4 linked regions of the Cricetulus griseus genome follow. Each later gene encodes a partner of the first gene's protein in a complex. Links are inferred from orthologs where the notes say so. Each region holds a gene or a part of one and is shown on either strand. Other genes may lie near its edges. The genes, in order: Pin1, Smad2, Cpeb1 and microtubule-associated protein tau.

Region 1 (5,808 bases):
ACTCCTCTTTCATGAGTTCATGTCACTAAGCATCATCCTTTTGAGGTCACACAAGGGTCTACACTATTGATGAACTGGAATTAAATCTTCACCCATTGGAGTCTTTGAAAATCATTAAGTATCCAGGGCCAACAAGATGAGTAAAAGCACTTGCTACCAAGCGTGACGACTTTAGTTTGACCTGCAGAACCCCGTGGTGGAAGGAGAGAATAGATTGCCATAAATTGTCCTCTAACTACAAGGTTAACATGGCATCCTTCCTTATGAAGTGTAATAGGATTTTTTGTTTGTTTTGTTTAAGATTTGGTGTTTTTGTTTGTTTGTTTGCTTTTTATGTATACAGTGTTCTGTCTGCATGTATTCCTGCAGGCCAGAAGAGGGCAGAAGATCTCATTAACAGATGGTTGTGAGTCTCCATGTGGTTGCTGGGGATTGAACTCAGGACCTTTAGGAACAACAGGTAGTGCTCTTAACCTTTGAGCCATCTCTCCAGCCCAGTGTAATAGCTTTTTAAAGTCACTTTTTGGTTTTTAGAGACAGGGTTTCTATGTGTAACCCTGGCTGTCCTGGAATTCCCTCTGTAGACTGGGCTGGCTTCAAACTGAGAGATCCTATTGCCTCTGCCTCCCAAGTGCTAGGATTAAAGGTGTGTGCTGCTATTACTGGCATAAAGCAACATTTGTAAAGTGTTATGCTTTGCCTGCATGTATACATGAATGTGCACCATGTGCAGACCTGGTGAACTGAAAAGGTCCTCTGCAAGAGCAGTCCAGGCTCTTTTTTGGTTTTCGAGACAGGGTTTCTCTGTGGCTTTGGAGGCTGACTTGGAACAGCTCTTGTAGACCAGGCTGGTCTCAAACTCAGAGATCCGCCTGCCTGCCTCTGCCTCCTGAGTGCTGGGATTAAAGGCGTGCGCCACCAACGCCCGGCTCAGTCTGTGCTCTTAATCACTGAGCCATCTCTGTAGCCCTCCGCAGACCTTTTTCCTTCTCTCCTTTTTCTTGGGGGGGGGAGGGTTGTTGCTTTTGTTTCATTTGAGACAGGGTTTCTGTGTATAGCCCTGGCTGTCCTGGAACTCATTTCATAGACCAGGCTGGCCTCTGCCTCCTGAGTGCTGGGAATGCACCACCACATCAGTTTCCTCCACAGACTATCAATTGACTTAAGCCTATTCCTTTTCTTCATCCTAGTGATAATGCCATCGCCCAGCCCAGGAACCTAGGAAGGAGTCAGGCAGAGAAGGAATAAGTTGAAGTAGGTTCTAAAGAAAACTTGGAAAGTGGGTAAAATGATTAGCCTTGGGGCTGTAGAGATGGCTCAGAGGATAAGAGCATTGCCTGCTCTTCCAGAGGTCCTGAGTTCAATTCCCAGCAACCACATGGTGGCTCACAACCATCTGCAATGAGATCTGGTGCCCTCTCTAACCTGCAGGTCTACATGTAGGCAGAACACTGTATACATAATAAATAAATCTTTAAAAAGAAGAAAGAAAGAAATGATTAGCCTTGCAAAACCCAAAAAGGACTGGCGTCGCTTTGGAGGAAACAGGTGGGAAGAGAACCAAAAAGCCAAATTTAGGCTTTGGGCACTTGGCTTCTTATCACCAAGGCAACTGAATTGCTATGGCAACGGCAAAATACAGCAAAAGTACCGAATACCTCCCTACCAGCGAGCCGCTTCCGCGTGGAGGCTGGCCGACCTCCAAGAACGGCTCAATAAGGCGGGATTGGTTGCCGCAGGAGCCAATCAATAAGCTCTACTCTGCGGGCTAAGCCCACCAAGAAGGTTGCAGAGACCTTTTGACGCTTAAAGGAATCCTGAGCGTTCAATGGGCGACGCTTCCAGGTGGGCCAATCAGCGGCGGTGTCGGGACGGGGGGGCGGAGAGTGTGCAGGGGCGGTCCAGGAAGCCGCGAGTGAGCCCAATAAAATGCTAGCGCTCTAGCGGCGCCGTGGGGCCGTCCAACGGGCGTCTGAGCCGGGCGAGCCAATCGACAGTGGCGCTGGGCCGGCGCGGGGTCACAGCTGCGGAGGCGGAGCGGGGCGGAGCGGAGGCGGGGCGGGCGCTGCGGCAGGAGGGAAGATGGCGGACGAGGAGAAGCTGCCGCCGGGCTGGGAGAAGCGCATGAGTCGTAGCTCAGGTACGTCTTGGGGGTCGGCCAGGGACCGGGCCGGGCCGGGCCGGGCCCTCGCGAGATTGCAGAAGGCGGGCCCGAGCTCACGAGGACAGGCGCCCTGCCTTAGGCGTGAAGGTCTGGGCTCCGCGGCGTAACGGGCCCGGAGAGCCAGAGACCGAGGCAAGAGGTGGGGCGGGCACGGGCACGCCGGCCCGTCGCTCACCACCGGGCCGGACGTCCTCAGGACACTAGGCTGCACCGCGGGGCTCCTTTGGGAGGAGGAGACCCGACCCGGTGCCTCTAGAGGGCGTGGGCCGCCCTGATTTGGGTTCTGGGGCAGCATCTGTGACACGTGCCGGCTCATCTCCAGCACGGGATCCTGCGACAGCGCTGGCTTAAAGGAGCTCAAGTTCGTTCACAAGTCTGTACGTCCCCCACCCTCCCTAGATCCCTTCATCTCCGTCCTGCCCCCCCCTCCTCTCTCCCTCCCTCTTTCCTTGGCTCATCCTCTCCCTTTCCCGGTCTCCCCTCTCTCTCTCCCGTTTCTCTGTCGTGCCCGTCTTTCAAGGGATGGTTTGCTCTCATTTTTCTAGTGAGGGAACTGAAGCCAGGACACGCAAAGAACTCGCCAAATGATGCAGTTCAGGGACTGGGAATGCAGTGAGTTCCTACCGCCAGAGTCCCCTTGCCAGTGTCAGTGGCAACGCCCTGAGGAGCGGATAGGCATCTCCGGTAGAACCAGGGTCCTGCTGCCTACAGAGCTCACTTATTCTTATTGAGCACCAGGGTGCTGGACACTGTATACATTAGCTCTCTCTGAATTAACGCGGCTAGGTTTAATGTGTCTTTCACCCTTTTGTTTGGGAGGGGGAGGTGAAAGGGTGTTAGACTGGATCTCACGTGGACAGGTTGCTAGATCCTCCTGCTTTAGCCCTTCAAATGTTGGGATTATAAGCATGCACCACTTTGCCCAATGTATTTATTGAGACAGAATCTTTATTAGTAATATTAGTAGTAGTATATTTTGTGTGTATGCTTGTGGAGATCAGACAATAACTTTTGCAGGAGGTTTTTTTTTCTTTCTTTCACCATGAGAGTACCTGAGATCAAACTCACATCCTCAGACGTGGCTGCAAACACATTTACCCACAGCTATTTTCTTTCTTTTTTCTTTTTAAATTTGAGAGGGGGGGGGAGAAGACTAGTCTTGAACTTGCTTTCTTGAACCTCTGGTCCCCACCCTCACCTTTCTGAGTGCTGGGATTACTATCACACACTAAGATAAAAGTCTTGCTGTGTAACCAAAGCTGGCTTCTAACTCATGGTTCTTCTGCTTCAGCCTCTCAAGCACTGAGACTACACTCATGTGCCACCATGCCTAGTTCTGATGTCCTTATTCTCTTGCCCCAGTTTTTCAGATGAGAAAGCTGAGGTTCAGGGAGATGGCCTATTGTATTTAGCCCTAGAGTCCTTGCTCCTATCCAGGCTGCTCCATTCCTGGCCTAAGCATAAACATACTTCTAGGTGGGTGTGGTAGCACGTAGATAAATTTCCAGTACCTAAGAGGCAGAAGCAGGAGGTTCTCCAGTTCATAGTTATCCTGAGCTACATAGACTTTTGTTTTGTTTTTGTTTTTTGAGACAGGGTTTCTCTGTGGCTTTGGAGGCTGTCCTGGAACTGACTCTTGTAGACCAGGCTGGTTTTGAACTCACAGAGATCCACCTGCCTCTGCCTCCCGAGTGCTGGGAAAGACCTGAGCTGCCACCACCCAGCCATCCGGCCCTTCTTGATGCTGAGTCACCTATGTAACCCAGAAAGACTCTAAGCCCTTGGAGTGACCCAGAATCTACTGGGTCCTTCTTTCAAGCTCCTGCCATGTCCCTCACTGCCCCTCCTCTTTCCTCCTTCACTATTTTTTTCCTGTTTTTTTTTTTTTAATTTTTTAAAATTTAAATTAGAAACAAGATTGTTTTATATGTCAATCCCTGGTCCCTCTCCCTCCCCTCCTCCCCTGCCCCCTTTTCCTGTTTTTTGTTTGTTTGTTTGTTTTTTGAGACAGGGTTTCTCTGTTTAGCCCTGGCTGTCCTGAACTTACTCTATAGACCAGGCCAGTCTTGAACTCAAAGGTCCCCTTGCCTCTGCAGCCCAAGTGCTTGGATTAAAGGTGTGTGTCAACACTGCTTGGCTAGCCTCGAATTTGTGATCCTCCTGCCTCCACCTCCTTCAGCAAATCCTACATGTGTATACCACCACAACCAGGTCTCCTTCACGTTTTTTTGAGACAGTCTTGCAAACTTACCCAGACTGGCTTCAAACAGCAGACACCTATCCTCTTGCCTCAGCCTCCCTAGTTCTAGACTGTGCCCCATCAAGCCAGGCTTTTCCCTTAAGCTTTTGAGTTACCTTCTTTATGCTCCTCACTGTCACCTAGATGTCCCTTAGATGACATCAACCCCCCCAGTAATGCTGCTTTCTTGCTCTTCAATTTAGGCCACCAGGGTAAGGATTAAGAATAAAGTTTTGGGCCTGGCAGTGGTGGCGTGCGACCTTAATCCCAGCACTCCGGAGGCAAAGGCAGGTGGATCTCTGAGTTTGAGGCCAGCCTGGTCTACAGAGCGAGTTCCGGGGCAGCCAGAGCTACACAGAGAAACCCTGTCTTGAACCCCCCCTCCTTTGAGGTATCTGCCTCTGTCTGTGCACAAGATATAGCTGCTGCTGTGAGCAGAGGTGGGAGGTGAAGCCTGGTTTGTTTGCAGTGGAGCGATGGATAGAAACCGCCATACTTACCTTTTTGGTGAATGTCTGATACTGGAACCTGAACTAGAACCTCACAAATGCCAGGCAAGCACTGTTCTATCAGTAAGCTAGATCCCAGCCCCATGGTATTTTTGTTTGGTTTGGTTTAGTTTTTCCGAGACAGGGTTTCTCTGTGTAGCTTTGGAGCCTGTTCTGGAACTCGCTCTGTAGACCAGGCTGGCCTCAAACTCAACAGAGATCCTTCTGCCTCTGCCTCTCGAGTGCTGGGATTAAAGGCATGAGCCACCAACACCTGGCTGTTTGTATATTTTTTAAATTGGATCCCATGTAGTCAACATTGCTCTCAAACTATAGCTGAGAATGTTCTTGAACTTTTGATCATGTTTATTTTGTAGGGTAGCCTGAGGACATCTTGGGGTGGGTGGGTTCTCCTTCCACTAGGCAATTCCTGGAGTTCAAACTCAGGTTCTCAGACTCTGACACATTCCTTTCCTTGCTGAGACATCCTGCAGACCTGGAAGCTGTTTTTTCTGTTTTGCTAGTTTAGTGTCTGTATCTACCTAGAATATTAGCACAGTCCTGTCTGAGACAGGTCCTGGTGGGGACAGCATCCTCCTAAGCCAGTCCTCATCCTGGCTTTCTGGATAGAGTCCTCCTCAACCCAGCCTCAGCTAAATAGGTGCTGTTCTCCCCCAGGCCGTGTATACTACTTCAATCACATCACCAACGCCAGCCAGTGGGAGCGGCCCAGTGGTGGCAGCAGTGTTGGAGGCAGTAGCAAGAATGGCCAGGGGGAGCCTGCCAGGGTGCGCTGCTCGCACCTACTGGTGAAGCACAGCCAGTCTCGGAGGCCCTCTTCCTGGCGGCAGGAAAAGATCACCAGGAGCAAGGAAGAGGCCCTGGAGCTGATCAATGGTGAGTGGGAGAGATGGGGC
Region 2 (5,870 bases), on another chromosome or scaffold:
AGATCTTCTTGAGCAGTGGTTCTCAACCTTCCCATTGCTATAACCCTTTTATACAGCTTTTCATTTTGTGGTGACCCCCGACCATAAAATGATTTCCTTGCTACGTCATACCTTTAATTTGGCTACTGTTATGAATTGTAATGGAAATATCTGATATGCAGGCTATGATATTGTTAAGAGCCACTCCTCTGTATCTTGGAAGGCTTTATAAATGGAGGAGTTATGATCTCAAAGAATGACACCTTGGAGAGATGGTTTAACTCCAATTCAAGAAGAATCTATGAAGCTCGGCTTTCCCCTTCCTCTTGACAACTACTTGTGTGCTGCCCAAATCCACATATGAATCATACAATTATATTTTATGATTCAAGACCATTTTTAACAGGCCATTCTGTATTAAGACTGTTGATGTCTATCAGTATAAAGAAGGGTTGCAAGTCAGAACCAGTTTCCCTACTTTTAACTTGAGTATCATTTGCCTTAACCACACACCCAGGTGGCCTTGGGAAGTTGAGACAAGGGATCTCCTGAAGTGGTGCCTCTCAAACTTAACTTTTATTTTGGTGGTGCTGGGGGGTAAACCAGGGCCTAGAGTGGGCGAGACAAGAGCTCTACCAATGAAGAACATCCTCTGCCCACAAACTATTAAAATAGGAGTTATGTGGCCTTCCTCTGAAATTGTTAACAGAAGAAACACCCAAATCCCTCTGTGCAGGTGAATTTCTGCTAAGTCCATGTTAGCATAAATATCTGTTCACAAAGGGAAGTTAATGATCCTTAATTTTCCTTTAGTTTCAAAGTCTTGTTCTCTTTATTTCCATTTATGATGTCATCAGCATATAACTATGTAAGTTGGTGTTATCATTTCGAGTACCACTTTGTCAAAAGCCTTGGATTTTTTTAGAGCCGAATTGAAAACTATGACTGGCTTATATGTGGGATTCTTCACAACTTTCCCATGAGAATAGTGGCAGAGATTTTGAAAGCCAATTTAAAAAACCTGTAAGTCTAGAGGCATGACCAAATAACTCAAGGTCCAAATGAAGGTCCCTTCTCTAGGATGTCCTCACATATGAGAACAGGGAATAGTTCACTCTTAACTGCTTCAAGTTCCAGGACTGCTTTGTATTGCTAGGAGGTTTGCTGGATTAGCTTGAATCTTCCAGGAAACCTATGAAGAGGTAGGTAGGTGGGTATATGCGAGCACGACAATCAGCCAAGGAAAGTGTCTTATGGTATTGTCTTTATCACTAGCAAACAGAAAAAGACATTTCAAATTTGGGTTTATTATGCTTCCTGTCTAACACAGGTGCTTAACACTGGAGGCGATTACTTGGGGTTCAATCTTTGTCTGCCAGGGTGAAGTTAAAATTACCGATGAACCTGGTTACGCCGCTGTGGGTAGTCTTAAGTTTGGGGACTTCCATAGGTAAAGGTGACAAGTTGGGGCCTAGGAACAGGGCATAGTGAAGGTAAAACCAGCTAGGGACAGCAAATCCAGGGGCACGCTGCCAGGTGCTCACACTTTACAGTGAGCATTCGAAACAGGCATCATTAATTAATACTTCGACTTCAGAAGGACTCAAGGTTCGGGTTGGAGAAAAACACCTAGCTGCTGCCTAGCCCTATCCCAAACCGCACCGACAAGAGAACTCTCTAACTCCGCGGTTTTTCGCACCCCCCACCCCCCAGGCCCCGCCACAAGGCCCCGCCCACCATTTGCATAGGGCGCACCCCTCTGCGGCCAGCACTCGGGTTTCTCCCGAGCTCTGCCGGCCCAGAGGCTCAGACCGGGTTGGGGGCGGGCCCGGGCCCGGGCCCGAGCACGTGTCCACTCCGGCCTCACGACGAAGGTGGGCGAGGGCTGGGCCGCGGCGCTCCACCCAGAGGCGCCGGGGTGGGGGGGTGAGAGGCGGGGGTCTGCGGGCGTGGCAGGCTGCGCGGCCTTCCGCGCTTCGCCATGAGCCCCGTGGGAGCGCGCCGGACACGAACTCAAGCGCAACCGCGGGCGTGCCACCCCGCCCGGCCGCGCCTCGCCTCACGCTCGACGGGGAAGGCGGGACCAATCAGCGAGCGACGTCTCCCTTCCGATTCCAGGCCCCCGACACGCTGCTCACACCCCGGGCTCCCCGCTCGCTGATTGGCTGGCGGTGCCGCCGGTCGGGCCGGAGCGGGAGGCAGCGGCCCGCCCTGCCCCGCCCCGCTTCCGGCCCCCGGCCCTGCCTGCGGCGCCCGGCCTCCTTCCGACCCTGCCGTGCTCCCTCCGTCTTCCGTGCGCGTCCCGCTCGGCCGGCGTGCCTCACGCCTAACGGGCGGCCGCGGGCGCCAATCAGCGGGCGGCAGGGTGCCAGCCCGGGGCTGCGCCGGCGAATCGGCGGGGCCCGCGGCTCAGGGAGGGAGGCGGGGCTACCGCGCGCGGCGGCGGCGGAGGATCAGCTCGCCAGCCTGCAGCTCGCCAGCGCCAAGCGAGCCGCCCGGAGGTAGGTGCGCGGCGGCCGGGGCGGAGGGCGGCGGCGCGGGGTGCAGGCAAGGCCGGGGCGCGGGACGCGCCGAGTGGAGCTGGCGGCGCCCTCCCACCCTCTCCACCCGTCCGCTCGGCCGCGGCGAGCGCGGGCCTGGGGCGGGCGGGGCCCGCGGCGCAGTTCCGCCTGCGCGCGCCCACTCCTCCGGCAGCGCAGAGCCCGTCGGAAGAGGAAGGAACAAAAGGTCCGAGGCTCGGCTCGGACGGGGCGGGACCTGGCACTCGGTGCAGGTAAAGCCGGGGCGCCGGGAGGACCGGTCAGGGGTGTGCGGGGCCGGGTCACGTGGCCGCCCGTGTGGGGTGTGGCGGGCCGTGGCGCGCGGGCCGGCGGGTCCGGGCCGTGCAGGGCCGCGAGCCCCCGCCCCGCCCCGCCTGGCTGCGGCCCGCTTCAGTCCCGGCGCGACCGCACTCGCCGTTTGCGTTTCAGAAGGGCCCGGGAGCCGAGTTAGGGGCGTGTGGTAGTTTGTTTCCACTTTTTCCTTTTTTTTTTTTTTAATTTATTTTTTCTTTTCTGTAGCCTTTGTTAACCGTAACTGTCGCGGGTTCCGAATCGCTCGCTCTGTGTACTCACAAACACGCTCGTGGCTGAGACTCCCGGGCTCATCCTCCACGCACTTGGGAAAGTTGCTCCGTGGGTGCAGCCTATTAGTTTCTAATCACACGCCTTTCGGAGGCATGCTAATTGATTGCACATATTTCAGACTTGGTTTTCACAATAGGTGCTTGGATTTATTTTGTTTTAGGTTTTGTATTCTTACCCTTGCATGTTATGGTTTCCTTGAGAACCTAAACAAAAGAAAAATAAAAATTGAGGGTGGTTTTGTTACTCCTTCCTTTTGCCCTTAAAGGCAAAAACTACCTGTTTGTTGTCAGACCAATTAAAGAAAAATACACCCGGGTGAAAATAATTCTGCCTTACTTTAGGCCTTGTTGGGATATTCTAAATGATGATGTTTTAAATTAATGATAGACGTGAATAAATGAATCACCAGCCAAATGTACCTGAAGATCTTTTAAAAATGGTACCCTGATATGTCAGTTTCCAAAGTCCCTTTTAGTTTTTTTCTGATTTCAGTTGTCCTGGTAACAACATACAAAGGATGTTTCCTTTGAGCCTAACACAAGAATACAGTTGCTGCCTTGCTGGAAATATCTTTACTATTAGTTTACTTTGATCCCTGTAAAAAGCAATTTCCCCCTTTACAGAGAAGTGTTAAGTAGTCAAAATGAAGTTGGAATAGTTTCAACTCATGAGTTAGTGAAGCAGATGGAATCCAGACATGGGAGAAGTATTATAGTTTAAGGTCTTTTTTTTTTTTTTTTTTCCCTTTCATTTAACTATGAAACAACTCCATAGAGAATTTTTTTTTCTCTTAGGTCATTTGGAAAATGTTTATGTTAAATTCATAAAGTAACACTGCTGTTATTTTTAAATTTTCTTTTTGTTTTTGCATAAACTTACCTGGGTGGTAAGAAAAATCGTTCAGATCTTTGGACATTTGTAAAGTGAGTGTCCACTTACATGCTTAATGTTAAAATCCAGTTTACTTAATTGAATTTAAGACTGCTCACTGACCGGACTTAATTACTGTACTGTGATTACAAACCTCACTTGTGTTCCTTAGCCAGATACTGCTCCTAAAGCTTGGTGTTTTCTATATTGTAGCTACACCTAAAGTGATTTCATGTTGTAAGTGTTCAGCAAAGTTTGGTCTTCAGGGTTCTAAGGTACTTGTCACTAAACAGCTATGCAATCTGTATGGTTCATAAAGTAATAGTCTTGGGAGAAACTGCAGAGTAATTTCCTGTTTGTGGCCTGTTAGGCTTGGTTATGTGTTTGAACTCTCAGTAAGACTGTTGGGGCTGGTTTTGTACACAGTCCTTCCCTTCAGGTGAACAGATGTGCTACTAAAGCTGGTAGCAAGCAATCCCCTTCTCTGTTTGATAGCTTTGATACTGTAGATAACGAAATGTAACTGTAACCTCAGGACTTTGCATTAGGGAGATTGTGAGTGAACAAACAAGCAAATTAACTCAGTTCAGCTGTATGAACTGGTGGCTAAGGACCTTTTGGGTTTTTATATTTGTCAAAACTTTCAGATCTGACTTTTGGGCCTGTTCTCCTGGTTTAATGCTCTGGACTCCAGAAGGCTGTTTGTAGCAGCCTTTTTTATACAGGTGCTTTTGTAGTGCAGGCAGGAGCTGTATATAGTGCAGTCTGGCAGATGGAGGTTTATTCATATTCTTTGGACAAGAATCCTTTTTAGGGGGTGGAGAGAGGCATATCTTTTTAGATGCTTTGTCTGAGTAGAAGCAGAAGAGACATTTTTAAGACCTTGGTTTCTGCACTTACAGGTGCAAAGATGTTTTCCACTAAGTATTGCAAAGGTGTGTCAGAAAAGTGACTATAAAGAATTAAGTATCATCACTCTACTGGACAAGTAAGACTTGCTCACTACACAAACTTTTTCAGTGGCTAGTTACACCAATATTCCCTAGTGGAATTGGGAAAGTAACAACTCCTCATGTCTCGTGGCCAAGACCCCACAGTGAGAAAATTATGTATAAGTTGTATCTGAGCAGTCAATAAATTCTTTCATAGTAAGTTCTTTAAGTATACTTGCACGTGTAAAGGGTGGCACTAGGGGAGATGGGATGTCTCTTATGTCACTAAGAACAATCTCTTTGTTGGGGTGGGGGTAGTGTCTGCCACTTTTTGCAGTTCATTCAAACTGAAGATAGGGCTGATATTTCAGAAACGTGCTTGTTGAGCAGAGATGTACAGTTGCTAACTTTACTTCTGTCTCAGTTTCATTAACCATTGCTCTTAGTTAAAGAAAGTGGTTAAGGAAAGAAAAGGAACTTGAGTCATTTGGGTTCCAGTGAAAGGAATATTGTATGCAAATAGTTGAGCCAAGAATACTGATTGGGCAGCATTGTCATGCAGTTGAATGGCCTTGGAGTTTGGATTCAAAGCCCTAGGGCTGGTATTTGGTTTCTAGGTTGTGGTATTGGTAAATTAAATTCCCAAGTCTTGGTTTTCTTACTAAAAGTGAAAGGAGTAGCCTTTACCTCTTAAGATTGTTATAAAATTAAGTTGAGAACATTCTTTGAGACAGGATTCTGTCAGTTTAACGTTCTTGTTCTTTAGTTAGTTATCTGGGCTCTTCTTAATGCAGATGATTTGCTAGTACTATTTTCCTGACCTCCTATAAATTGGGATGAGAAACACGTTGAGCCTCTAGACCTTCAGCCTAATTGTCCAAGTTGGTACCATAAAGCATAGAGGGGGTCCTTTCAGGTCCTTAGTTAGAACCTAGTGGTATTTATTTAAAATGTTTTCGACAAA
Region 3 (5,946 bases), on another chromosome or scaffold:
TGGAGTTCTTGCTTTTTTCTCCTGTTGGCAAGGGGTCCTTGAGCGAGTTACTTAATTGCCTTCTTTTGTGGTACGGGATTGACCCTGGAGTCTGGGGAGTACTATACAAGGGATCTTGTTGATAATATTCCCAGCTCTACTCTCGAGTCTGGGGTGTAGGTGGCAGGGTCAGGTGGGGGCACACAGGCTAAGTTGTCTGGGCTGCCTTTAAATTTGCAATCCTCCTGCCTCAGTCTCCCAAACAGCTAAAGCCAAGCACAAGTTACTTCTTTGAACATGTCTCTTCACCTACCAAATGAGTTAACACAAGTGAAGGCCTTAGAAGAGTGCTAAGCACATGGTTGAGTGCCCAGAAAGACTGTGTTCTTACTGCTTCGGCAAGAAATTCAGCAGAAATTCACGTTCAAAGTTACTTTCTTATATGCTGGGAGCCTGGAAGTTTATTATTGTTTTCAGATACTCATTCCCATAGGCCTTTAGGTGCCATTTCAAGTCTCAGATTCTTATCTTGCTTAACTTTGGGGCCAAGGAGGACGGGATGTGAAGGATCACAAATTGGCAGCCACGAAGGTACATGGTGACCCTGGATTTAAAATTCACATTTCGGACATACTTGATGCTTATCAGCTAACCATCCCTTCCACTTATTTTTGAGGCAGACTTTCTTCAAACAGTAGTTCTTAGCTGCCTTCCAATGCAAGGCAATCTTCCTGCCTCATCCTTGATAGTATTGAGATGACAGGCCTAAGCCAACATGGCTGGCTGACCAGCCCTTCCAGGTGTGCCTTGGGCTTTCCAAGCACCTCACACACCCTCACTTAAAGTTCCTATGTTGTAGGCATCTGAGTGTAGCACTCTCTCAGAAGAGGGAGAGAAGACAAGCAAGAAACATAAGGTTTGGAGTATCAGGCCTATGCTGCTTGCTGCCCAAGATGGGACTTGGGGGTGGGCTGCTCCTAGGGGTATGGGTTCCCCTACAGACATCACCCTTTCTACTTAGGACAGCAGCTCTTAGGAAGGCACGAAGATGAAGACTAGCTAGTCCTCGTTGTCATTGAGTTCCCTCAACTCAATGCATCTGTCCCTCTTCTCCTCAGAACAGCACACTAGACTAGAGCCATAAGCATCCTTTCTTATCACCCTGGGCAGAAACCTACAGTACCTGCCTCACAAACCTTCCAGTAGTTGGCAGCGTCTTCTTTCCTACCTGTCAGGAGAAACCTTCAGTATAATACGTGCTTAATAAATAGTGTAACATATAAACCACTTAGAAATGTTCAATAAACTCTGGTCCCTTTCTTATCCACTCCAGTGCCAACCTCTAAGTCTCCAGCAACACCTTAAAAGAGACAAACAACTTCCAAGCTCTGTTCTCCATTCGTTACTAGTTTCCAGCTAGCTGCAGAATAAAAGCCCTTCATAAACTGGGCTCAGGCTTCCCTCCTGTGGTATCAGCATGCATTAGCTGAATCCTAGTCAGATTGGGCCGCTCAGTGCAGTCCTCCCTCTCCGCCTTCCCTGGTCTCCAGCCCGGAATGCCATCTCCGCCTCTGCGCTCGCTTGGGCTTCCGGTCCGCTCCAGCCCCAGCTGGCCCATGACGCCTTTCTAAACAACAGCCGGGCTCACCCTGATCTCCTGCCCCGAATTTTCTCAGTAAAGCGCTCTATCATATCTGGCGGGAGCGTCGGAAGCGGTTTCCCACAGGGAACTGCAATCCAAAGAGGATCGCTGCTGTCTTTGGAACTTTCCGGAATCCCCTGACGCCTGCGCTCCCTGGTCCAGCTCGCCGGAGATGCAGTTGCAGTCGGTCTGAAGTGAGGGCGTGTCTGCTGCAGGTGGGGGGTGGGGGTGCTGGGTTCGTGCAATGGGGCTTCCATCCGAGAGGTCACTAGAAAAGGAGGGGCGTGGTTATACGGTTTTAAGGAGGCCGCACATCACCACCGCAGCTGCATCGCAGAGGCTTGTAGATCAGTGAGGGAAACTGAGGCCTGCGGGAGAGTGACTTGGCCTGGATCTCTGGGTGAGGGGCGTGCTCAGGCCTGGATCTCCTGGCTCCTAGAGGTAGAGGTGGCCTGCAGCGGCTTGAGCCTCGGAATTCGCCCCCGCCTGGGTCCCCAGGCCCAGGGTGGGCGGTGGAGCGCGGGTATGGACGGCTGGAAGGAGCGCAGGGGGCGGGGGCGGGGGCGGGGCGAGGCCGGGCGGGGCCGACACAGGTGCTCCTCATCAGGCCAGCGCCTGTGCGGAGCTTTATAAGCCGCCGGGGCGCGGAGTCGCGCGCCGCTCGCTGCAAAAATAGTGCCCACGTGTGTGTGCGTCCCGCGCCGCACAGACCCGCCGGCCGGCCGGCCCGCCCGCCGCCCGCCCGCTGGTCCCTCAGGGCGACGCCGGACCCCATGGCGTTCTCTCTGGTAAGAGCCGCCAGGGCGGGGCGGGGCGGGGCCGCTGTCCCGGCTGCCTCAGCTAACGGTCCGCTCGCTGTCTCGCCGCCCCACAGGCCCCCACCGCCGCCCCGGCGAGCGTCCCGGGCGGGGCGCCGGTCACATGCCCACGGTCGTGGGCCTCGTGGAGCGGTGTGGGGCGAGGGGGGGCAGGGAGCTTCCTCGTGACTCAGGCCTTTGGGCTTAAAGGCGCCGCGGCCCTCCGGGGGCGGCCGCTGGGGCCTCGGAGCTGCGCTTGCAGACTCCCGGTGGCCTCGAACGTATGTCCAGACGGGAGCTGGCCGCGCGGAAGGGAAGCCGGGCGTCCACGACACTTCCTCCTCCCGCAGCCGTCGCACGTGAGAGCCGAGGCGGCCCGCGGCGCCGGCGGCTCACGTCTCTCCAGAGCCGCCTCGGCGTCCCGTGGGAGGCAGGAGCTGGCGTCTCGCGGCGGGCGGCGCGGAGGGCAGCGGAAGCCCCTCAGGCTGGGTCCGCGCTCGGGGACGCGCGCCACGACGGCGCCGCCGATATGGCTCCTTTAAAGCCGAGGACTCGGGCCCCTCGTGCGGGCCGCGCGCTTTCCGAGCCCGGGGAAGTCACGTGGCTTCACACGTTCGATTGCTTCTGGAGCCCGAGCCCTGAGGGTGGAGCGGGCCAGGTGAGGTCGCGCGTGCGTGTGACCCGGCTTCGAGGGCTAGCCCCGGGAACCTGGCGGGTCTGGGGGCGCGGGCCGGGAGGAGGAGCCAAGCAGCCCGCGAGGGGGCGCTGGCGTGGAGCCTGCTCGTCGTCGTCCTCCTCCTCCTCGGCGGCGTCCACTTTCCTCACTCTGCGGCCTGGCCAGACGCGCTCATGTGGCCTCGCGGGTGTCTCTCAGCTTTTCTCAGGCGGCAAGGCCAGGTGCCCAAACTTGGGGGTGTCGGAGTGTAGATGGGTTCGCGTGGCCTCCAGCAATGGCCTCAGGTTTGGGGGAGCTGGGCGGGGGTAGGGCTGACAGGCAGCTTCACTGGGGCCTAGACGCCACCCCGGGAAAGGCCCACGCCTGCCTCGGATCCCTGAGGCAAGGGGACCCAGGCCAGGAAAGTGTCTTTGGTGGTGGGCCGCTCGCTCCGTGTGTTGCTCGGGCCTTTGCCACCCGCGTGGGTTGCTCTGCGGTTCCAGTCACCACGATATTGAGCTTCCCTTTCCAGGGGACCCTATAAGGCCACAGTTCCTGCAAGTGGCCCTCAACACGAGGAAGCATGGCACACCTGGGCTCCAGGGAACTGTGCAGCTTCGTGTGTGAGCGCCATGGTCTGGAGTAGCCCTTTGCGTCTTGCAGGCTGTACCCCACTGTACTCTGCCCTCAGATAGAATTAAGCGTGTGGAAAAAGTCGGAAGCACCCGAGACCCGGATTAGCCCAGGGCTGCCTGCCTCAGGCCTCCCCATCCCCCACAGCGGCCTCCAGGCCGACTCTGATGAACGCATTTCTCTGGCAACTGCTTCTTTTGGTCTCCCTGGCTACCGTGCTGCCTCCCCACTCTCTTCTGGCACCTGGATAAACTGCTGGTCTGCGTCATTTGCTGGGGCCAAGGCAAGTGGGTCGGGTTTAGTGCTCTGGGAAGGCATGCATGTACCGGCTTTCTCCAGGCCATCTCTGAGGTGACTGGGCCCACATGTACCAACACAGACTGTGCTGATGAGAGTTTTCACTTCTTGCTTCTGTTCTGTGTGAGTGTAGGAATATGAACTGTGTGTTTAAAAAGAAAAGAAAGAAAGAAAGAAAAACGGGCAAAACAAAACCTCAGAAATACAAGCTGGTGATTGTTTTCCTGTTATGTAGAAGAGATGGACGGCTGACTTCTGATGCATACTGGGGGCTCCAGTCTGTCAGGAGGCCTAAGGATAGTAGTGTTCAGAATTCACCACTGATCATTTACCCTTCCTTTTAATAACTTGCCTGGGATTCACAGAGCATTTTCTGTATGGTTTACCACACTCCACCCCAGAGTTTGCACAGTTATCTCAATTCAAGTTATTTGACACTGAATGCTCTGTTGATAGAAAGCTGACAGATATAGGTAAGTCAGCCTTGAGTATAAAAACACTTGCATCCCCTCCCAATGATTGTTCTACAGACAGCTTCCTGGCAAGAGGCTCCCCAGTGTGGAAGGGAACAGATAAGAGTTAGAGAGCTGACACAGGCAGTTAATGATCATGGGGACATTTGTCGTTAGGAATGGTCCTGAGGTCCTCTCAGAGTGTGAAGGAAGAAGTTGTACGATGGTAAGAACAACACCAAACCTGTTAACAAAGAGCTATTGATAATAACTGCCTCAATAAGTGTTTTCATCACGCACCATCGACTCATTGTAAAACATCCTTAAGGAGGATTATAAACCCGGATTATACAACGGTAAAATGAGTTGAAGATGAGGGAAGAGTAGCACCCACTGACCTATAGTGTATATGTATATGCCTCTCTAAAAGAAACAGTCATTAACTGATTACTGAAAAACAACTGCACACCCGGAGTTGGTGGACCTTTGACACCCTCCCCCCATTTTGATGAATCCCTGGCTTTTAAGTGTAGCAATAACCAAATAACAATAAGGTTGGGTTCAACCTGAAAACTGGTTTGGAGTCTGTCTGTAGATATCTCTATATAGAGTTCCCTGTCTTACAGTTGAGGCTCAAATATCAACTCCCAAAGCTTATTAAGTGATGGAATGAGATCCTGGATCTTTTTGTTGCTTTATCCCAACCAGTTACTTGTGTGCCTGTCAAGGATCAAAAGGTTATTGGTGATGGATGACTGGGTCTGTGGGCTGGTCCCATTTTTACATCATGAACTCTAACTGTAGTGGTAGCATTCTCCTATTGCTGTGGAAGTCAGTATAGGTCTTGTGAGCATTAGTGCCTGGAAGGAATGTGCTGTGTCTACCATTCCATGATGTGTCAGAGCAGTTAGTTGATGATCCCGAGAGCCAGAGGTCTGAAGAAAGGCTCTTCCCAACCTTCTATACAAAAGACTTTCATTTTCAACATAGATAAAATTTCAGTAATTTTTTCCTCAGACAAGGCAGATTTGAAATGATATAATTGGTTTTAATTTTTATTGTATTTTTTAGTAATTGTGTGTTGGAAGTTGTGTGCATGCCAGAGTGTGCATGTGTGGGGCGATCAGAAAATGGTTTGCAGGAGTCAATTCTGTCCTTTCAGCACAGGGTCCTAGGGCTCCAGACTCAAGTGTTTTTCACCTGCTGAGCCATCTTGCCAACACTCAAATTTTATATAATTGTTTTAAGACTGATAAAAGTAGAGTGATGTTTAATTTCACTTTTTCTGTCTTAACTAAAACTCTTCTAGTGATGCCTCTTAGATTTCCAAGAATTAGTAAGACTTAAAATTTTGTACCTCTCTCCCTCCTACTCCCTCTCCCTCTCCCTCCTTCCCTCCTTCCCTCTATCCCTCCCTCCCTCCTTCCCTCCCTCCCCCTCCCCTCTCCCCCCTTTCTTTCACTCTCTCCCTCCTCTGGGTACCATATCTGC
Region 4 (5,324 bases), on another chromosome or scaffold:
GATATCAGGGAACTTCCTAATGTGTGTCAGCCTGTGAATGTAGAATCACATGATAGCCTGGGCTGATCAACAGGGCTGTCTACAGGATGGACCTGTAGAGAAAGCTCTCTTGAAGGTGGGGGCTGGTGGTTATAGCCTCTGGGATTTTGGGTTGCAGGATCCCTGGTCTAGACTGCACATCTGGCTTGCTGCTGGCTCTCTCTAAGATGGAGGGACTTACAGCAGGCTGGCTGCTCCTCCATCTGCACCTCCTGGCTGGGCTGTGTCCTCCTCTCTAGGGCAGCCTCCCCACACCCTGTACATTCCTTTCTCCTCTGGCCATTTCAGGCTTCCATCATCTCTTACCCCTGCCCCACCCTGGTACCGACTCTCAAGCGACTACCTGGGCTAGAGGGAAGGAGGGAGGCTCTGGTTCCTGTAGCATTCCTGTCCCTTCTTGGAGGTCTCTGTCTCCCATGGGCTGCAGAGGGCAGATGCGCCTGCATGGGAGCCAACCCCTTGGCTTTCCCATCATCACCTGCCCCGGAACTCCCACTGTACCCTGGGTCTATCTGCAGAAAGTCCTCGGGACCATCTACTCTTCACCCACCTTACAGGGGCAGGGTGACACCCCAGGACTGACATGTGAGGCCACAGCCCTCCTTTTCCATCAGGTCCATTAGCAAAAAAAGAAACACACACACACATACCCCACAACACAATACAACATACCATCAGCACAGCTATCTATGAAAATGAGAGGGATTTGTCCACTTAGACCTATGTAAAACATCCACCTTGCTTTACTGACTCTCACACACGAGGCCAACCCTCTCCCAGGACAGAAGATGACACTTTCCCTCACTGGAATGACCCCACTCGTGGTCTATATAGGAGACCCATGGGATTTGGAATTAGTTAGTGACCAGCTATCTAACCTATAAGACTAGTTCTGAGAGACTGGCTCCCAGGAGCCCCTTCTACTGGGGTGGCCTCCTCCAGGGTGTCCTCTCAGGAAGCAACTGCCATTCCCCAGAGCAGGCGTCGTTGCTGGGTCACATGAAGGACCTCTTGGGCAGGCAGGTCTCCCTGTGTGTCATGTCTACTCACTCATGCTTGCTGAGACACTAAACCTGTGGTTTCCACTGTGTGCCTGCATCCTTGTTGGTGTTGCTTTGCTTTTTCAGTAGAGGATGAAGTGTGCAGGAGACTGTGTGCCCAGACACCATGTGACTTTTACCCTGAGTCATAGCACTGTCCTGGGTCCTGTTTGCCAACTGGTGGTCAAGGACTGAGGGAGCTCCCTGGATGAAGCACTCCCATCTTGTCGACTCTTCTCTGAGTCCTTTCCAAGGAGATCATCTGGAGGCTGCATAGGCCGTCACTTCTTCCTCCACTGTGTGTGATGGGTCTTTCCTCAGTTAAGGATTTATGTTTATATGCTTAATATCTAAATAGAGATCATGATCACACACAGGGACTAGGCACCCTGCTTTTCCATGAGAGTCTCTTGGGTTTCTGGGATTGAATATGCTCAGGTCCCATAGTTACTTTGTGAGGACCTAGTTTCCTGGGGGACAGGGATTGGCTGGATTTGGGGAGCATATTTTCCTCCCTGGGTGGGGTATATCCAGTAGTTAATGGGAGCCACTGACAAGTGGTCCTTTGGGCTTTGCATTGTGTTACACCCCCTAGTAACATAACCCCCTTCGTTTTCTGTCTCATTCCCACCCCCTCTGACCTGCAGGTGCAAATAGTCTACAAGCCAGTGGACCTGAGCAAGGTGACCTCCAAGTGTGGCTCATTAGGCAACATCCATCACAAACCAGGTAGCCCTTGAGGAAGGAAGGCTTTGGGACAGGAAGGTGCTGGCTAGTCTGGCAGGTGCTTCCTGGAACAGGCTAACCTGAGCATTGAACATTAAATGTGAAGGTGCTGTGTGGCCTGGGAAATGTGACTGTCTCTGCTGGCTCCTGAGCAGGGTGTTTTCAGCCTAGACAAGGGGTGGAGAAAAAGGAGAAGCTGGTCCTAGATTCTATCTTGTGGCTCTCCAGCAAAGTCTGTAAAAGAGGACCAGCCATGGACTGATTGGGCCCCCAAAGGCAAGCTATATGGATGTCTCAGGCTTGTCCCAGCCAGCATGGGGGGACTTCATCAATGGCTATAATGTAAGATCTTTCTGGGCTGCTGTCCTACTCTCATGGTGACTGTTTAAACAAAGCACCCTTCCCAGGAAAGCAGTACAATTCACCTCCCCTCCTGCCACACCCTGGTGTGGTAACCCAAGTCAAAGGGAGAGGAGTAGGGTCTCTCCTCATTGTACATTTTTTTAAATTTATTTATTATGTATACAACATTCTGCTTCCATGTATATCTGCACACCAGAAGAGGGCACCAGATCTCATTATAGATGGTTGTGAGCCACCATGTGGTTGCTAGAATTGAACTAAGGACCTCTGGAAGAGCAGTTGGAGCTCTTAAACTCTGAGCCATCTCTCCAGCCCCTCATTGTACATTTAACATGCAGTACGATTCCAAGGTCTTGAGGGGCTGTGGCTTACAGGATGTTCATATGAAAATCTCCACCGCTGGAAGGCATCCAGTTTAGAACTCAGCATGTCTTCCGCTGGCCAAGCTTCCTGTATCTTTGAACCATTTCAGGAGGAAGATTTTGCAGAGTAAATACCTGATGAGCATCTCGATTAGAGATGGGGCAGGTGATTTGGCACCATTACAAGAGCTCCCTTGTGCCTAATTCTCCTTTTAGATATAGTAGAGCTCTGACAACTCCAAGAAGGTGGGCTGTTCTTGTGATCACTGGCCAGCCTCTGTTGGAGTCAGAATGGGCACATTAGTGAATGTTCCCCTCCAGAAGGGTGATACCTGACCTCTTTTTTTTATCAAGCCTTCAGAAGCCCCAGGCACTTTGCTCTGCAGTCTGTGACCTCATTTAATATATGCTAAGTCCCCCAGATCACAGATGACAAGAGGCTCTTGTGTGGGTTGTGTTCCAGGAGGTGGCCAAGTGGAAGTAAAATCTGAGAAGCTGGATTTCAAGGACAGAGTCCAGTCGAAGATTGGTTCCTTGGATAATATCACCCATGTCCCTGGAGGAGGGAATAAGAAGGTAAAGAGGGACAAATGGGGGGCACATGGGGATATGGGGGTTAATGGAGTGGACAAGGCTGGTCCTAGGGGGTCCCATATGGACTACCTAGAGGTAGATTCTCCCCCTCAGCTCAATGTACCAAGAACAAGGCACCAGACCAAAGGCAGATCTTTTCCACTAATTACTAGAAAGCTAGAGCAAAACAGTGACTCTGGCTGAGGCTGTGGCTCAGCTGGTAGAGTGCTTGCCCAACATGCACAGAGCCCAGGGTTCCATCGCCAGCACTGCATAGACTGGGCATTAAACTGCCATCCCAGATGGAGGTAGGAGGATCAGGAGTTCAAGACCACCCTCAGCTACATATTAAGTTTCAGGTTAGCTTGTGCTACATGAGATTCGCACCAAACAGACAGACGAAACCCAGGGTTCCTGCTGGGCAATGGTGGTGCACACCTTTAATCCCAGCAATTGAGAGGCAGAGGCAGGTGGATCTCTGTGAGTTCGAGACCAGCCTGGTCTACAAGAGCTAGTTCTAGGACAGCCTCCAAAGCCACAGAAAAACCCTGTCTCAAAAAACAAAACAAAACAAAAACAAAACAAAAAACAAAACCCAAAACAACACCACCACCACCAAAAAAACAGGGGTTCTGAAGAGAAGTGTTCACACTGGGGCTGCTGGGCCTCGAATTCCCAGCTGTGTCTGGTCTCCAGGCTGAGGAGAATATGTGCAGGGTATGGGAACACAGAGGTGCGTGGCTCTAAGCAAGCTCCTCTTGCACCTAACACAGGGTGTGACTGTAGGGTTTTTCCTCCAGCATAAACAACCTCCACACCTGCCTGGCCCCATATTGTGGAGGCAGCCTCCTCTGCAGGGTCCTCCCAGCAAATGACTGAACAGAGGGAATGGCCTGGAATCAGACCCAGCCTAGCACGAGAAAGGGTACTTACCCAAGGTGGCTCAGCTGTTTTTCTACTTGGCCTTGTTGGATGGCCCTTGGGATTCCCCTGCCTGGCGAGTCCCCACGGCACCCTGCTTTCTTCTGCAGCCATGTGTCTGCATCTGCTGCTTATATAAAGCCCCTGGTAGTACTATGAAGCATCCGTTGGACTGCTGAAGTGCCCAACACATGGCTGCCATTTCTGTCACACACCACTCAATTGAAATGCAAAGCCTCATACATACTGCTCCCATATGGGGTCTATTGGCCCCCGGGTGCCACAGGGAGTCAGTCACAGGCCTGGTTCCACCTCAGTCTGATTCAGTGGGGCTGCAGCAGACCTGAGCTGGAGATTCCCTGGGTAAGGGAAGTTCTCAACCAGCCTGGGAACTTCTATGCCCTGGATGAAACTCTGGAGCACTAGAAACAGATAGAGGTTATTCCGGGCTACAGAGAATTAGTGCCAGCCTGGGCTACACTTGAGAACGTCTCTTGGAACCAGAAGCAGTTGGGCATAGTGGTGCACGCTTTTAATCCCAGCATTTGCTGAACATTTGGGAGGCGGAGGCAGGTGGATCTCTGAGTTTTCGGGTAGCATGGTCTACAAAGCAAGTTCCAGGACAGTGCGACCACACACACACACACACACACACACACACACATATGCACGCACACACACATGCACACACAAAGGTTTTTAATCAAAGCTTCTCTCAAGTACAGTAGTATAAAAGATCCCTCTTTACCAAAAAGAACAGCATATGCATGCAGCCTAAAGGAAAGGCTGATTTTTCTCTATGCCACCATTCAAGCTCCCAGCAAGGGTCTTTGACCTCAGAAGGTGTGTGGAAATGCAGTGTGTGTGTCACATACTTATGTGCACACATGGCTCAAAGCCTGGGATCTAGAACAAGGTGGAGGCATTTTGTATCCACCCTTTTGATGTAGAGACTGCTATACATGCCTCAGACTGCTTTCTGCTTCCCTTTGGGCTCCTGGCTATAACCCTGTATGTCTGCACCCCCCCCCCACCTATGTGTACATGCATATGCAGGTGAGCCCACCCGTGTACATACATGCGGAGACCAGAGCAGGTTGTCTTCCTCTATCACTGTCCACCTTATTGCCTTGAGACAGGGTCTCTTACTGAACCAGAAGCTTACTGTTTTTGCTAGGCTGGCTACGAGTGAGCTTCCGGGATGTACCTGTGTTCATCCCCAAATGCTCAGGTTACAGGTTACAGGCATGTGCAGACACACTCTGCTTCTTTTACTTAGGTGTAGAGGATTCGACCTCAG

The links.
Region 2: the proteins of Pin1 (region 1) and Smad2 are in contact, whole or in part, in an NMR structure (PDB 2LB3), measured with the Homo sapiens proteins. The link is inferred for Cricetulus griseus from reciprocal best matches to the Homo sapiens genes PIN1 and SMAD2. Residues at the interface, in NP_006212.1 of Homo sapiens: Glu12, Arg14, Met15, Ser16, Arg17, Ser18, Tyr23, Phe25, Trp34; in NP_001003652.1 of Homo sapiens: Pro218, Glu219, Thr220, Pro221, Pro222, Gly224.
Region 3: the proteins of Pin1 (region 1) and Cpeb1 are in contact, whole or in part, in an NMR structure (PDB 2N1O), measured with the Homo sapiens proteins. The link is inferred for Cricetulus griseus from reciprocal best matches to the Homo sapiens genes PIN1 and CPEB1. Residues at the interface, in NP_006212.1 of Homo sapiens: Arg17, Tyr23, Ser32, Gln33, Trp34, Glu35; in NP_001352172.1 of Homo sapiens: Arg206, Ile207, Ser208, Pro209, Pro210, Leu211, Pro212, Phe213.
Region 4: the proteins of Pin1 (region 1) and microtubule-associated protein tau are in contact, whole or in part, in an NMR structure (PDB 1I8H), measured with the Homo sapiens proteins. The link is inferred for Cricetulus griseus from reciprocal best matches to the Homo sapiens genes PIN1 and MAPT. Residues at the interface, in NP_006212.1 of Homo sapiens: Arg17, Val22, Ser32, Gln33, Trp34; in NP_058519.3 of Homo sapiens: Val546, Arg547, Thr548, Pro549, Pro550, Lys551, Ser552, Pro553.

What each region holds. Positions count from the first base shown.
Region 1 is NC_048597.1:133,533,508-133,539,315, forward strand, and holds the start of Pin1 (peptidyl-prolyl cis-trans isomerase NIMA-interacting 1), read left to right. Parts: upstream 1-2,003; 5' UTR 2,004-2,082; coding exon 2,083-2,140; intron 2,141-5,569; coding exon 5,570-5,788; intron 5,789-5,808. UniProt on the Homo sapiens protein: Peptidyl-prolyl cis/trans isomerase (PPIase) that binds to and isomerizes specific phosphorylated Ser/Thr-Pro (pSer/Thr-Pro) motifs.
Region 2 is NC_048595.1:163,598,853-163,604,722, reverse strand, and holds the start of Smad2 (mothers against decapentaplegic homolog 2), read left to right. Parts: upstream 1-1,828; 5' UTR 1,829-1,853; intron 1,854-2,207; exon of another isoform or gene 2,208-2,480; intron 2,481-2,609; exon of another isoform or gene 2,610-2,752; intron 2,753-5,870. UniProt on the Homo sapiens protein: Receptor-regulated SMAD (R-SMAD) that is an intracellular signal transducer and transcriptional modulator activated by TGF-beta (transforming growth factor) and activin type 1 receptor kinases.
Region 3 is NC_048596.1:116,134,368-116,140,313, forward strand, and holds the start of Cpeb1 (cytoplasmic polyadenylation element-binding protein 1), read left to right. Parts: upstream 1-2,589; 5' UTR 2,590-2,701; coding exon 2,702-3,076; intron 3,077-5,946.
Region 4 is NC_048600.1:117,355,419-117,360,742, forward strand, and holds part of microtubule-associated protein tau, read left to right. Parts: intron 1-1,726; coding exon 1,727-1,808; intron 1,809-2,993; coding exon 2,994-3,106; intron 3,107-5,324. UniProt on the Homo sapiens protein: Promotes microtubule assembly and stability, and might be involved in the establishment and maintenance of neuronal polarity.